Linked DNA regions of Oryctolagus cuniculus. The protein of the gene in region 1 purifies or fractionates together with the protein of each later gene. This does not show direct contact. Links are inferred from orthologs where the notes say so. Each region holds a gene or a part of one and is shown in the gene's direction. Other genes may lie near its edges.

Region 1 (6,264 bases):
TCTCTCTCTTTCTCCCCCTGTTCTTCTGTAACTCTGACTCTGAAATATATAATCTTTAAAATAATCATAATGTCTTGTATCTGAATAGTTACTTAAGCTCTTTACAGAACCCTTAGATATCACGTGCATCTGTCAGATTCATCTTGCTGGGCATTATTTCTGAGCATATCATGTCACTGTGGGAAAGTTTTCAACAGCTTCTCTTTTTCTACTGAATGAAGTTTTAACTCCAACCTAAACTAATGCCTTGCTACTTAAAGTATGGCCTCCAAAGCAGGAGCATTGGCATCACCTGGGAGCTTGTTAGACCTGCAGATTCTACAGCCCCATCCCGGACTATTGAATCAATGATACTCTCAAATTTTCCGTTTTCATAATTTATTTTTTAAATATTTTATTTATTTAAGAAGTAGAGTTACAGAGAGAGGGAGAGACAGAGAGAAAGGTCTTCCATCTGCTGGTTCACTCCCCACATGGCCGCAACAGCTGGAGCTGAGGCGATTTGAAGCCAGAAGCCAGGAGCATCTTCTGGATCTCCCATGCTGATGCAGAGCCCAAGCACTTGGGCTATCTTCAACTGCTTTCCCAGGCCATACCAGAGAGCTAGAGCAGGAGCTGGCACTTAGTTCAGCAATGCCCCAGCAAATTTAACAAAATCCCCAGCTGATGGCACATCAACTGTATCTTTACTCTCTTGTAAACTTGAAGCTTCAGAAACTGGAGTTGTGGCATAGCAGGTAAAGTCACTGCCTGCGACACCACCATCACATATGGGTGCCAGTTCCGGTCCTGCTGCTCTGCTTCCCATCCAGGGCCCTGTTAATGGCCTGGGAAGAGCAGCAAAAGATGGTCCAAGTGCTCAGGCCCCTGTTGCCTATGTGGGAGACCCAGCTGAAGCTCCTGGCTTCGGCCTGGCTCAGCACCGGCAGTTACAGCCACTTGGGAGAGTGAACCAAGGATGGAAGATCTCTCTCCCTCTAACTTTGACATTCAAAAAATAAATAAATAAAATCTTGAAGTCTCAGAAGGGTTGCCAAATTTCACATATGAAAGTAAAGAACATCCAGTAAAATTAGAAACGGGTAACTTTTCAGTGTATCTCAAATGCTTCATTGGACACTTTCTTTTAAAAAGCCATTGTTTATTTGTAATTCGTATTTTGCTAGTTGTCCTGTATTTAATCTGGCCACCCTATTAAGGATGGTAGGATCCATTCCCTGGCAAAAGTGCAGCGCCTCCCCCAACTGCTCAGTGTGTGTCTGAAGAATAGAGGAAGTGAGTTATTTGAAAAGAGAGGTTTTGGGGCCAGCACTGGTATAGTAGGCTAAGCCTCTGCCTGCCAGACTGGCAAATCATTTGGGCTCCAGTTTCTGTCCTGGCTGCTCCTTTCTCGATCCGGCTCCGTACTAATGGCCTGGGAAAGCAGTGGAAGACAGCCCAAGTCCTGGGGTCCCTGCACCTGCGTGGGAGATCTGGAAGAATCTCCTGGCTCCTGGCTTCAGATAGACCCAGATCTGGCAGTTGTGGCCATTTGGGGAGTGAACCAGCAGATGGAAGATCTCTGTAACTACCTCTCAAATAAATAAAACCTTTAAAAAAGTGAGATTTCTGCCTTTTTGCGCAACATTGAAAATCCCGAGACTAACACGATGCCCGGTGCACAATAAAAGACCAATAAACGTTGAACGAGTAAACGAATTTACCTAGCACAATCTCACAATTACGGACTGGGATTGTGTGTGCCTGTTTTAATTAAAGCCGAGTATTTATCTAAGGATCCTATTTGTACGCTTTTTCACATTGGAGCTGGCAGAGTTCAGGACTCGATGGGAACGAATCAAGAGCTCAGAATGTACTCGTCGCAGACGGGGCCCATATGGTCACTGGTGGGGAGAAATCCCCGTTCGTTCTCCGGAGGCTGACAAGCCTGCGGCAGGCAGCAAGCGGCAGGCGGCAGTCGGAAACGCTTCCCTCTCCCGGCTTCCGAGGCGCCCGCGCCTGCGCACAGCCGCACTCCGGGCCCCCAGGGCCGGGTTGAGGGAGGCGGGGCTCCCAAGGCGCGTGCGCGGCGGTCTGGGCGGCGGGCCCCTCCCTTGGCGGGGGCGCGCGACACGGAGGACCGCACCGAAAGGGGGAAGTCAGGTGGCCGCTGCCGCCGCCGCCACGGTCTGTCGCCAGAAGGAAGATGGCGGATCTGGAGGAGCAGTTGTCTGATGAGGAGAAGGTAAGAGCCGCGGGGGCGGCGGCGGCGAGGGTCGGTGCGGAGCCGGGAGAGCTTCGGCGTGTCACCGCCGAGTCTGGACGGTGGCGACGGGCTTTGGCCGACGGGCTGTGCCCTCGGCTGCCCTTCCTCCCCCGCCTCGCTGTGCCCTAGTGCCTGCCCCTGTCAGTCAGTCGAGGCCCCCGCGCGGGCGCCCGTCTCTGACGGGCCTGCTCGCGCCGCTCCTTGTAGGGTGTGTGCTCCGAAAATAGGAAGCGGGCGCCGGGCGGCGGCTGCGGGCCCGGCGCGGAGGGCGGGGGCGGGGGCGGGGGGCGCGAGCGGAGGGCGGCGGCTGCGCGGGACCCTCTGCCTCGGCGCCGGCCGCGGGGCCGCTGCGCGGAGCACCGGGGACTGCAGAGGGGGTCTGTGTTCCGGCCTGGGAGAGGCCCAAGGGCAGTGCCCAGCCCGGCGGCCTGGCCTGGAGCGTCGCCGGGGGTGAGGGGGAAGGGGGAAAATCGCTTAGGAAGCACTTGGGCCTTCCACTTCCCCCGCCCCATCGCCAGAAGGCTGCCTTTCCTCCTCCTCCTCCTCCTCCTCCTCCTCCTCTCCGGCTTCCCTTTTGCCTACGGAGGTTTCTTGCTTTTTCTTTGCTTCGCTTTCGCTGGAAGCCGTGCAGCTCCGTGTTCCTTGAGAGGGATCCGAGTTGCTCACAAAAAGACCCCTTCCCGTAGTTCTTTTCTGCCCCGGTGGGCAGCAGCCTCCGGAGGCGGGGGGCGACCTGGTGCCACCCCGTTTCTTCCTGCTGGGACTTCTTCCGAAGCTAGGCGGTGCAACTCCTTTTAACCGTGTGTTCGATGCTGTGACAGCAATGGAACCAGATGAGAGACTTAAGTCCTCAGACGTGTGAAATAAGAAAACCGATTCTAGAACTAATTCTCTCTTATTCGCCCGTTCCCTTTGGCTGCAGGGGAAGGCCTGGTTCTCGGGGATGGGCGGGGTGGGGAGGAACCCTAATAATTTTTGACTATTTCCTGGAGAGGACCTTGATGTTTCTCAGACTTAAAAGTATCTAACACGACGTGAATAAGATAGTGTGACCGTTTTGGAAATGCCCGTCTGTAACCATGCTGCGTGCCTATGTTCTCAAAATAGTAAGGTTTTGTAGGAAACACAGGCAAGTTACATTACGATGTTTCACAAACCCTAATATCAGTCTAAGGATACTTTTATTTCTTGTGTTCTTGCATCAAAATCTAAGATTCTCTTTCCCCAGCTGAGTGTGCAGAAGGCAGCTCTGTCTTCAGTTTTAAAAGTGTTTTCTGTCTATGAAGTGGTAATAAAGAAACAACAACAGAAAAAAAAAAAAGAGGAGGGGAGAGCAACAAGATTCTCCATAATGGACAGGCCCCTGTCGGAGATCCGGCAAAAGTTACTGGGCACTGTTCATATGTGTGGTATTGGTAAACAGGCCGGAGGTGGCAACTCAAAGTGGACATGAGCAAACACATGCATACACGGTTCAGTAGTGCGGTTTCTCGAAGAGATTGTTGTGCCTTTACTCAATCATTCTGAAGTGGTTGTTAGTAGTTCAAGTGGCTAAAAATGTAGTTGGGGAGAGAGTACTCAGTGTGGGAGTTAATACAGACCTGCCATGTGTTGCAAAGGTCCGGAATAGCAAAATGAGATGCCAAGATCCCTTATTATCTGGCACTCTGGGAGCACCAAGTTCCAGAAGGGGCAGAAGCTGGCCATCCAGCTTGCCCAGCATAATATTGGATGAGTGAGTGAAAATTCCAGCTTGGATTTTGGTGTTTCTGTTTTTATTCAGACTTTTATGAAAATATTCTGTAGATATTTTACATACAGATTTCATCCCTGTATATGCTAATTTAAGGAAAAAACAGCTCAGTCAGTGGAATTTTAATACTCGAATTATGAAAATGCTTTTTTCAATCTTTGGGGAGAAGGATGTTGGTAAGGGATGAGAAATTGTGATATTTTTAAACTTAAATTTAAATCATGTTACTCTTTCTGCTCCTTTATTTGTAAGCTTCGAAAACAACCTTTTTGTACTCTTAAGCTTTGAAATTTTCATTCTGAAAGGCAGATCTAAGGGAAGGGAGCTGTTAAGATTTGTGTAAAACCCTTTGTATATAGACAAATACATTCTTAAATTTGTTATGAACTTGAGGTGGGTAGTTTTTTTTTTGTTTTTTTTGTTTTTTGACAGGCAGAGCGGACAATGAGAGAGAGAGAGAGAGAGAAAGGTCTTCCTTTGCCGTTGGTTCACCCTCCAATGGCCACCACGGCCGGCGCGCTGCAGCCGGCGCACCGTACTGATCCGATGGCAGGAGCCAGGAGCCAGGTGCTTTTCCTGGTCTCCCATGGGGTGCAGGGCCCAAGCACTTGGGCCATCCTCCACTGCACTCCCTGGCCACAGCAGAGAGCTGGCCTGGAAGAGGGGCAACCGGGACAGAATCCGGCGCCCCGACCGGGACTAGAACCCGGTGTGCCGGTGCCGCAAGGCGGAGGATTAGCCTAGTGAGCCGCAGCGCTGGCCTAGGTGGGTAGTTTTATTATTACCATTTCACAGATGAGTAAAGAGAGGTTTTAAGAGCTTTAAGTAATTCTTCCAAGGATAACTAGGTAGAAAGTGGCAAAGATGGTAGTTGGATCCAAGTTTGTCAGAGTTCAAATTCCATGCTCTTGTGATACCATGTTCTTTTAAACAAAATTGGTTACGCGATCCTTTTCTGGGTTTGTCTCTGTTTTTAATTTGTTGACAATTTTTTAAAAAGGAGAAACAATGGTTCTTTTAAAGTAAAATTTGTAGATACCAAAGATTAAATAGTGATGACTTCTAATATGTTTTTTGGTTTGTTTTTTTATTATTTAGCACATTTAAATATTTTTATTACTGGTATAATTTCATATATGCCTTATAGTAGGAAGCATCTTAGAAACTGATCTAGAATAAGAGCTTTGCTTTTAATAATCATGTACAGTTACTTTTTAGGATACCACTAGTGAAACTTAATGACCCTGGGGTCAGCCCTGTGTTGTATCGGGTAAAGCCTGCAGTTCTGGCATCCCATACAGGCACCAGTTCGAGTCCTGGCTGTTCCACTTCCAATCCAGCTCTCTGCCATGGCCTGGAAATGCAGTAGAAGATGGCCCAAGTGCTTGAGCCCCTGCACCTGCATGGGACACCTGGAAGAAGCTCCTGGCTCCTGGCTTCGGATAGGCCCAGCTCCAGTTGCAGCCATTTAGGGGATGAACCAGTGGATGAAAGATCTCTCTCATTGTGCCTCTGCCGCTCTGTAACTCTGCCTTTCAAATAAATAAATAAATCTTAAACAACAACAACAACAACAAAACTTAATGACCTTTTCTCTTGGCCATCAGGTTAATAATATTTAGCTGAAGAAGCACATTGAAGTTCCTTTTTTTTTTTTTTTTTTTTTTTTGCTTTAAGACTTTATTTATTTGAGAGGCAAAGTTACAGAGAGGGGTCTTTCAACCACTGGTTCACTCCCCAGATGGCTGCAATGGTCAGAGGTAGACCTTTGTGAGGCCAGGAGCTTCTTCTGGGTCTCCCACTTGGGTGCAGGGGCCCAAGCACTTGGGTCATCTTCTACTGCATTTCCAGACCCATCAGCAAGGAGCTGGATTGGAAGTGGAGCAGCGTGGACTTGAACTGGCGCCCATATGGGGTGCCAGTGCTGCAAGCGGAGGTTTAACCTACTATTCCATAGCACCAGCCCCAAGTAAAGTTCTTTAAAGCTATTAATTTGATGTGATGTGTCCCACAGACTTCTTACATGGAGAAACTCTGGGCCAAAACCAGTTTACATTTTCTGTTCCTGGGTCAATTATATTGCACAGTTAAGCATTTTTGTGAATTTGAAATTGTGATCCAAGGCTTAAATGAAAAGAACCATTGCCTTCCCAAGCCTCTCTAGATAAGAAAATCTTCCTGAAGGAAAATAGTTATTGATAGAAGAGGATCTTTTCTTTTTTCTTTCTGTAACCCCTCCTATCTTCCCCCAGCAATTTGGATAGTT
Region 2 (6,264 bases), on another chromosome or scaffold:
TTGCAGGCGCCATGCGGAGCTTGTAAGCTTGTGCTGAGTCCTGGGCATCATTGTTCAGGACCCTGAGGGTGTTGGGAGACACCTGGTTTCTGGGGGCATTGCCAGTGAAGGTTGGGGCTGGAGTTTCAGACCCACAGGGGCCGCGAGGGGATGGAGGGGGGAGAGTCAAGGCACCCTCCCATGGAGGGCCGGCTAGGCAGGCGTGCTGCAGTCACCTCTCAGGTCACCCACCCCCTCACCAGAGCCAACCAGTGTCCTGTTCTAGCCCTCCGTTGAGAGGGGGCTGAGGTCTTGCAGGTTCTGAATTAGAGATTTTATGGCACAGGTTACATGTTGTATGTGCTGTCTCCCGGTTCCCAGAGAAGCCACCCAGAAACACCAGAGACAGCAGCAGAGTAGGCAAGGTTTGGGTGCCCTCAGAGCTCAGTCCAGGACCAGGCAAGATGACTTCCGTGAGCACTGCTTTCCTGATTTGTAAGACGACTTTTTTTTTTTTAAGGAAGTGGCCAGGCTGAGTGATTCTGCAGAATCTGTGCTTCCTTTCACTTTCTTTCTTTCTTTTTTAAAAATTTATTTTATTTATTTGAAAGACAGAGTCTTTAGAGAGAGGTAGAGACAGAGAGAGGTCTTCCATCTGCTGGTTCACTCCCCAGATCGCCGCAACTGCGCCGATCCAAAGCCAGGAGCCAGGAGCTTCTTCCAGGTCTCCCATGTGAGTGCAGGGTTCCAAGCACCTGGGCCGTCTTCTACCGCTGTCCCAGGCCATAGCAGAGAGCTGGATTGGAAGAGGAGCAGTCGGGACTAGAACCAGCGCCCATATGGGATGCTAGTACTGCGGGCCAGGGCTTTAATCCACTGTGCCATAGCACCAGCCCCTCCTTTCACTTTCACGAGTCTGTCCTCTTTTCTCTATCCTTATTTCTGCTGTCCCCTCACCTGTGCTTATGGCTACAGCCATGACTACTTCCCTAGGCTCCAGGATGTGGTGCCCCCACCCTCCAGCCTCACCTACCTGCCCTCCCACCTATACCAGGCGCTCTCCCCATGCTCTGGATGAGCTGGGCTTTCAGTGGCAAGCCCCAACTGTCCTTCTAGGAAAATGGGACTCCCCCCACCCCAGGCTGGTTTAACCCCTGCACACCAGCACATTGGAATTATTGTGTGCCCTCTCCCTCCTGCCAATGCCAAGGCTACAGGGCAGCTTGCGCCTTATTCCTTTGGGTATTTATTGCCCACCACACAACACCTGTGCTCAGTGGTAGACACAAAGCACTTTTCGTTTGGCGCAGTGTGTCCTCCTATTTGCCCATTTAATCCTCACACACTCGGGTGGACTTATTTTCTGATCACACAGGTGAAGGAGCTAGGGTTCAGAAGGTCAGGTGCTTTGCCCAGGTGGCAGAACAGGACACAAAGCTCCAGGCTCTTGGAGCGAAGCGCCTGCAGGACCGAGAACTCCCGTGGATCTGGGTTTGGATCCCGGCTCGGCCCTGGGCCGGCTAAGGCACCTCAGGCGAGGGACCCCACAGCCCGTGACTGTGTCCTCACAAGTCATTCCAGCTCAGGACTGTTGGGAGAGATAACTAAAACAATGCCTGGCTTGCGGCCGGGACTACAAATGCGAGCTCTGTTCCAGACCCTAAGCTTGGCAAACCTCAGCTCCGGCTTCCAACAGAAGCGCCTCCCTCCCGGGGTGCCAGCCGCCCAGCGCCCTGCCCGCGTGGACGCGATCAGCGCATCGGGTACCACGGTCCTTAAAGGACAGGCCGCGGAGGGAGGGAACTGCGGGGTCCTGGGCGTGGCCGGAGCGCCAGTGGGGCGTTGGTCAGCCGGGGAAAGCGGGCGCCCATCGCACCCGCCGCAGAGGGCGCAGCCTCAGTGTCCTCCGGAGGCCGGCGCTCACCCACTAACTCCCCGACGCAGCTCCGCCGCCACCACGCAGGACATCAGAGAGCCGGCAGGGACCCGGGACGGCGAGGCCGCGTGGACTCCTCCGGCGTCCGCCCCGCGGCGCTCAGGCTCCGCCCCCGGCCCGCCCCCGGCCCCGGCGCGGCTGGCGGGAGGCGGGGCATGCGCAGCGGGCAGCGGGCGCGGGGCGCGCGCGTGCAGCCTTTCTCCGCCGGGAGCGGCGCGGGCAGGCGCGGGCCGGAGCGGGCGGGCGCCGTGGGGCGCGGGCTGGCAGTGGGCGGGGAGGCGGGCGCGCGCCAGCAGCGCCGCCGCGGGGCCAGCGCAGGAGTGAGAGGCGGCGGCGGCGCTCCCGCGAGCCCGGAGTCTAGAGGATGCGAGCGACGGTGCCGGGAGAACTGGAACGGCTGTGACCTCGGCGAGGCCAGAGCGAGGCGGGGATCCCCGGGGGGAATCGGGGGTGGGGGACGGCGAGAGCGCGGGGCGCTGCCGGGCGGGGCTGGGGACCAGTGATGAGCCAGCGTGCGAGGAGGCTGCACGCCGCCGCCACTGCCGCCCCGAGCCGCTGCCGGCGGTCCCGGCCCCGGCCATGGAGACGCTGAACGGCCCCACCGGCGGCGGCGCCCCGGACGCTAAGCCTCAGTCGCCCGGCCAGCACCACCGCCACCACCACCTCCACCCGCTGGCCGAGAGAAGGCGGCTGCACCGCGCACCCTCGCCCGCCAGACCCTTCCTCAAGGACCTGCACGCCCGGCCCTCCGCGCCCGGCCCGGCCCCGGCTGCCCCCTCCCAGAGCCGAGTCGCGGTGCCCGCCGCCCCGCGCTCGCCAAGCCTGGCGGGCAAGGCACCGCCCTCGCCGGGGCCCCTGGCTGCTCCCGGCCGCCTCTCCCGGCGCAGCGGCGGCGTCCCCGGCGCGAAGGACAAGCCGCCGCCGGGCGCTGGGGCCAGGGCGGCGGGCGGCGCCAAGGCCGCCCCGGGAACCCGGAGGGCGGCGCGCGCGGGGCCCTCCGAGCCACTGCCTCGGGCCGGGAAGCCGCCCGCGGCCGAACTGTCGCCTGCCGCCGCCAAGGGCCGCAAAGCCAAGCGCGGTTCCGGGGCGCCAGCCGTCCGCACCCTCGGCCCCCCGGCCCCGGCCGCTCGCGTCCCCTCCGTGACCCTCTCCGTGACCTCGGTGGCCGGCTCCCCTGCGCCGGGCTCGCGCATCAGCCACACGGACAGCAGCTCCGACCTCTCCGACTGCCCCTCCGAACCCCTGTCCGACGAGCAGCGCCTGCTCCCAGCAGCCAGCAGCGATGCGGAGTCCGGCACCGGCTCCAGCGATCGGGAACCCCTGCGAGGAGCGCCCACGCCAAGCTCTGCAGCTCGGGGGGCGCCGCCGGGCAGCCCCGAGCCCCCAGTGCTCCTCGCCGCGCCCCCCACTGCCTCTCTCGGGGGCCGAAGCAGCCCAGGCGGGGTCCCCATGGGGTCTCCGGGACCGTGTGCGGCGGAGGATGCTGGGGGACGCGTGCCGCCGGAGCGAGCGGTTCCCGGGACACCCAAAGAGCCCAGCCTGGGCGAGCAGCCCCGGCTGGCGCAGCTGCCGGCGGCAGAGGAGGAGGAGCTGCTGCGGGAGATGGAAGAGCTTCGCTCGGAGAACGACTATCTCAAGGTGAGTGGGCGCGGGTGTCCCGGGCGCGCCGCCGGAGTGTTCGCTGCTGCGGGCTGGGTTGCGCGAGCCCTGCACTTCCCTGCCCCTGCGCTCATTAGGCGCTGGGACTTTCGGCCAAACTTCAGGAGGGAGCCCGAGACCTGTGGGTCGCGCGTTCTCACCCGCTTAGCTTTTCTGGAAGTCTTGCTGTCTTTTGAGCGCGCCTTTTGCTTTTGTGGACAAGTTGGGGGAGAGATGGCCGTCATCCGTTTGGCTACATCAGCCGACCCTCACCTCCAAGCCAGTACCTGCCCCCTCACCTGTGGCAGCAGGCTTTGCCTGGCCGAGCTTTCTGGTCCCCTAGGTGCAGGTGTGTTGCAGTCCTGTGTAGGTTCTGGAAAGCGCAGGGGCCCAAGGCTGCAGACTCGCCTGCGGCTTCTCCTGCAGTTGCAGAAGGAGCTGGGGTCCCTCCCGGTCTCCTCTGGGTAGCACAGGCAACAGGGGGCCCTGGCGTTCATAGTGACACACCTGCAGTTCACAAGGGGTCCTTGGAGTGTGGCCTGCGTGGAGGAACAGTGGTGTTTTGCTGCCAGCCCTTTGCGCGCATGCACGAGCAGGTTTTTCTGTGTCAGGACAGGCCCTGCCAGCACTTTCTAAGGAATCACGGCTTCCACTGCACTCTCAGTGTTGTCCAGCAAGGCCTGCTAATGTGGCCTCTTAGTCTTGTTAGCACCGCGGTGCTTAATCTGGCTCTGTCCTTTTTCCCTGGGGAGGAGGGCTGGGCTGGAGAGGCAGAGGGCATGGAGGGTGCTGGGGAACCAAGACATTGCTGGTGACTTGAGAGGGAGCAAGCCAACTTTGAGTTTATTGTAGTCCTCAGGTTAGTAAATGACTCCAGTGGTGTAAGTCAATGTACTTCTCTGTTAAGATCTTAATGAATATCCTCCCAGACTGGCCGGGTGGCCCTGCTTTATCAGTAGGTTATGGGAGTTGAGCTGTTTGCTCAGCAAATGATGAACCTGCTGGCTCAAGGCCCAGTTTTCGGCCAGTGTGACTGAGGATTGGGTTTTTAAGGTGAACAGTGTTGAGGGCTTGCAGTGCAAGCTAGAATCAGAACACATTAACTGCTGAGCAGTCCTAAAGCTAACCCTCTTATCGGGAGTTATTTTATCTTGTGCAGAGTGAGGCAGAGGAAGAGAAGAGAGGGCAGATTGGGGATTGGAGCAGGGTGTTTCAAGTAGTGTGTGTGTGTCACCTCCCGTTATGTAATAGACTACCGTGCCAAACCCCTAGGTGTTGGGGGAGAAAAGGCAACTCTGTTGTACCGTGTGGCGTGGCTCTATGGTGAGAGCAGCCCTGGTACAAATCCCAGCAAGTGCGAGCTGAGCTCCCCGAGGGTGAGAAAGATCATCTCGTTCCCTCGTGTAGCCTCAGCTCAGAGCGCAGTCCCCGGCCCACTCCACCCAGCGTTTTCTCCTGGAGTCATGTTTTCCTGAATCAGGACTGCTGGGCAATAGCAAACTGATTTTCTTTCAAGAAAGGGTGTTTCTCGCAACATGTTTGATGTCAGGGTGGGCGATCCAGCTTCATGTCAAAGTGCGTTCGTGGGTGCCTGGTAATTTGCTTTCTCTTTCTGGTGGTTGGATTCTCAGTGACCCCGGGGTCTGTGCTGTTCTGTGTGACTGGTCAGTGCTTCTTCACAGCACGCAGGCTGTGACTGCCTCTGTGTTTATCACAACTCCAGTTTCTCAGGAGAAACTGAAACTGAGAACCAGAAAACTTGAAGGGACTTCAGCCGAGGTAACGAGTAAGCAGCGCTGCTTCTGTTTTCTTTCCTCTGCCTTCCGCTGCACCAGGCTTCCAACAGGCCTGGTTTCTCACCTACACCGCTTCGGAGTTGTTGTGTTAGCTCGATGTGGTTCGAGGTTTTGGCTTCCCGAGGGCTCCTGTGTCTTCTCTCTAGGTGCAGGGGCCATCCTGGGCACCTCGCCACTCGCCTGGGCGTGAATGGTCATGGCAGTCCCACCAGCAAAGTTTTTTTTTTTTTTTTTTTTTTTAAGATCTATTTGAAAGTCAGAGTTACACACACACACACAGACAGAGAGAGAGAGAGGTCCTCCATCTGCTGGTTCACTCCCCAATTGGCTGCAACGGCTGGAGCTGTGCCAATCTGAAGCCAGGAGCCAGGAGCTTCTTCCTGGTCTCCCACACGGGTGCAGGGGCCCAAGGGCTTGGGCCATCTTCTATTGCTATCCCAGGCCATAGCAGAGAGCTGGATTGGAAATGGAGCAGCTGGGTCTCGAACTGGCGCCCATTATGGGATGCCGGCACTTCAAGCCAGGGCATTAACCCGCTGCACCACAGCGCTGGCCCCCGGCAAAGTTTAATTTGCAGGAGGTGCTCATTTGCCACTGCCCATGGAGAAGGTGTCATGGCCATCTGTTTGCTACCCTGATTCCATTCCACACCCTTTCCCCTGACAGCAGGAGAGAGAGAATTGGATGAAGGGGTGTGAAGGAGACCGGGAAACTAGAATGATTGCATGTAGGTGAGCATGAGGCACGTGCTGACTTATTCAAAAGCTTCAATTACGTAGTTCAATTTGGGAAAGAAAAAAGTGTCCTGTTGTCCTTTTCTACAAGGTGGCGAGCCGCTGGTGCACAGTGAGGCTGGGAGCGTGGGGTGGGGGCGATGGTCCATGCCTCTGCACGTGGAAGTTGGCTGCGCTTTAT

The links.
Region 2: the proteins of CAPZA2 (region 1) and MTCL1 purify together in Homo sapiens (affinity purification with mass spectrometry; 3 studies listed by BioGRID and IntAct, counting the BioPlex papers as one, with this or other methods). This does not show direct contact. The link is inferred for Oryctolagus cuniculus from reciprocal best matches to the Homo sapiens genes CAPZA2 and MTCL1.

Annotation. Positions count from the first base shown.
Region 1 is NC_091434.1:152,376,970-152,383,233, forward strand, and holds the start of CAPZA2 (F-actin-capping protein subunit alpha-2), read left to right. Parts: upstream 1-2,085; 5' UTR 2,086-2,185; coding exon 2,186-2,224; intron 2,225-6,264. UniProt on the Homo sapiens protein: F-actin-capping proteins bind in a Ca(2+)-independent manner to the fast growing ends of actin filaments (barbed end) thereby blocking the exchange of subunits at these ends.
Region 2 is NC_091441.1:65,829,008-65,835,271, forward strand, and holds the start of MTCL1 (microtubule cross-linking factor 1), read left to right. Parts: upstream 1-2,130; 5' UTR 2,131-2,494; coding exon 2,495-3,553; intron 3,554-6,264. UniProt on the Homo sapiens protein: Microtubule-associated factor involved in the late phase of epithelial polarization and microtubule dynamics regulation.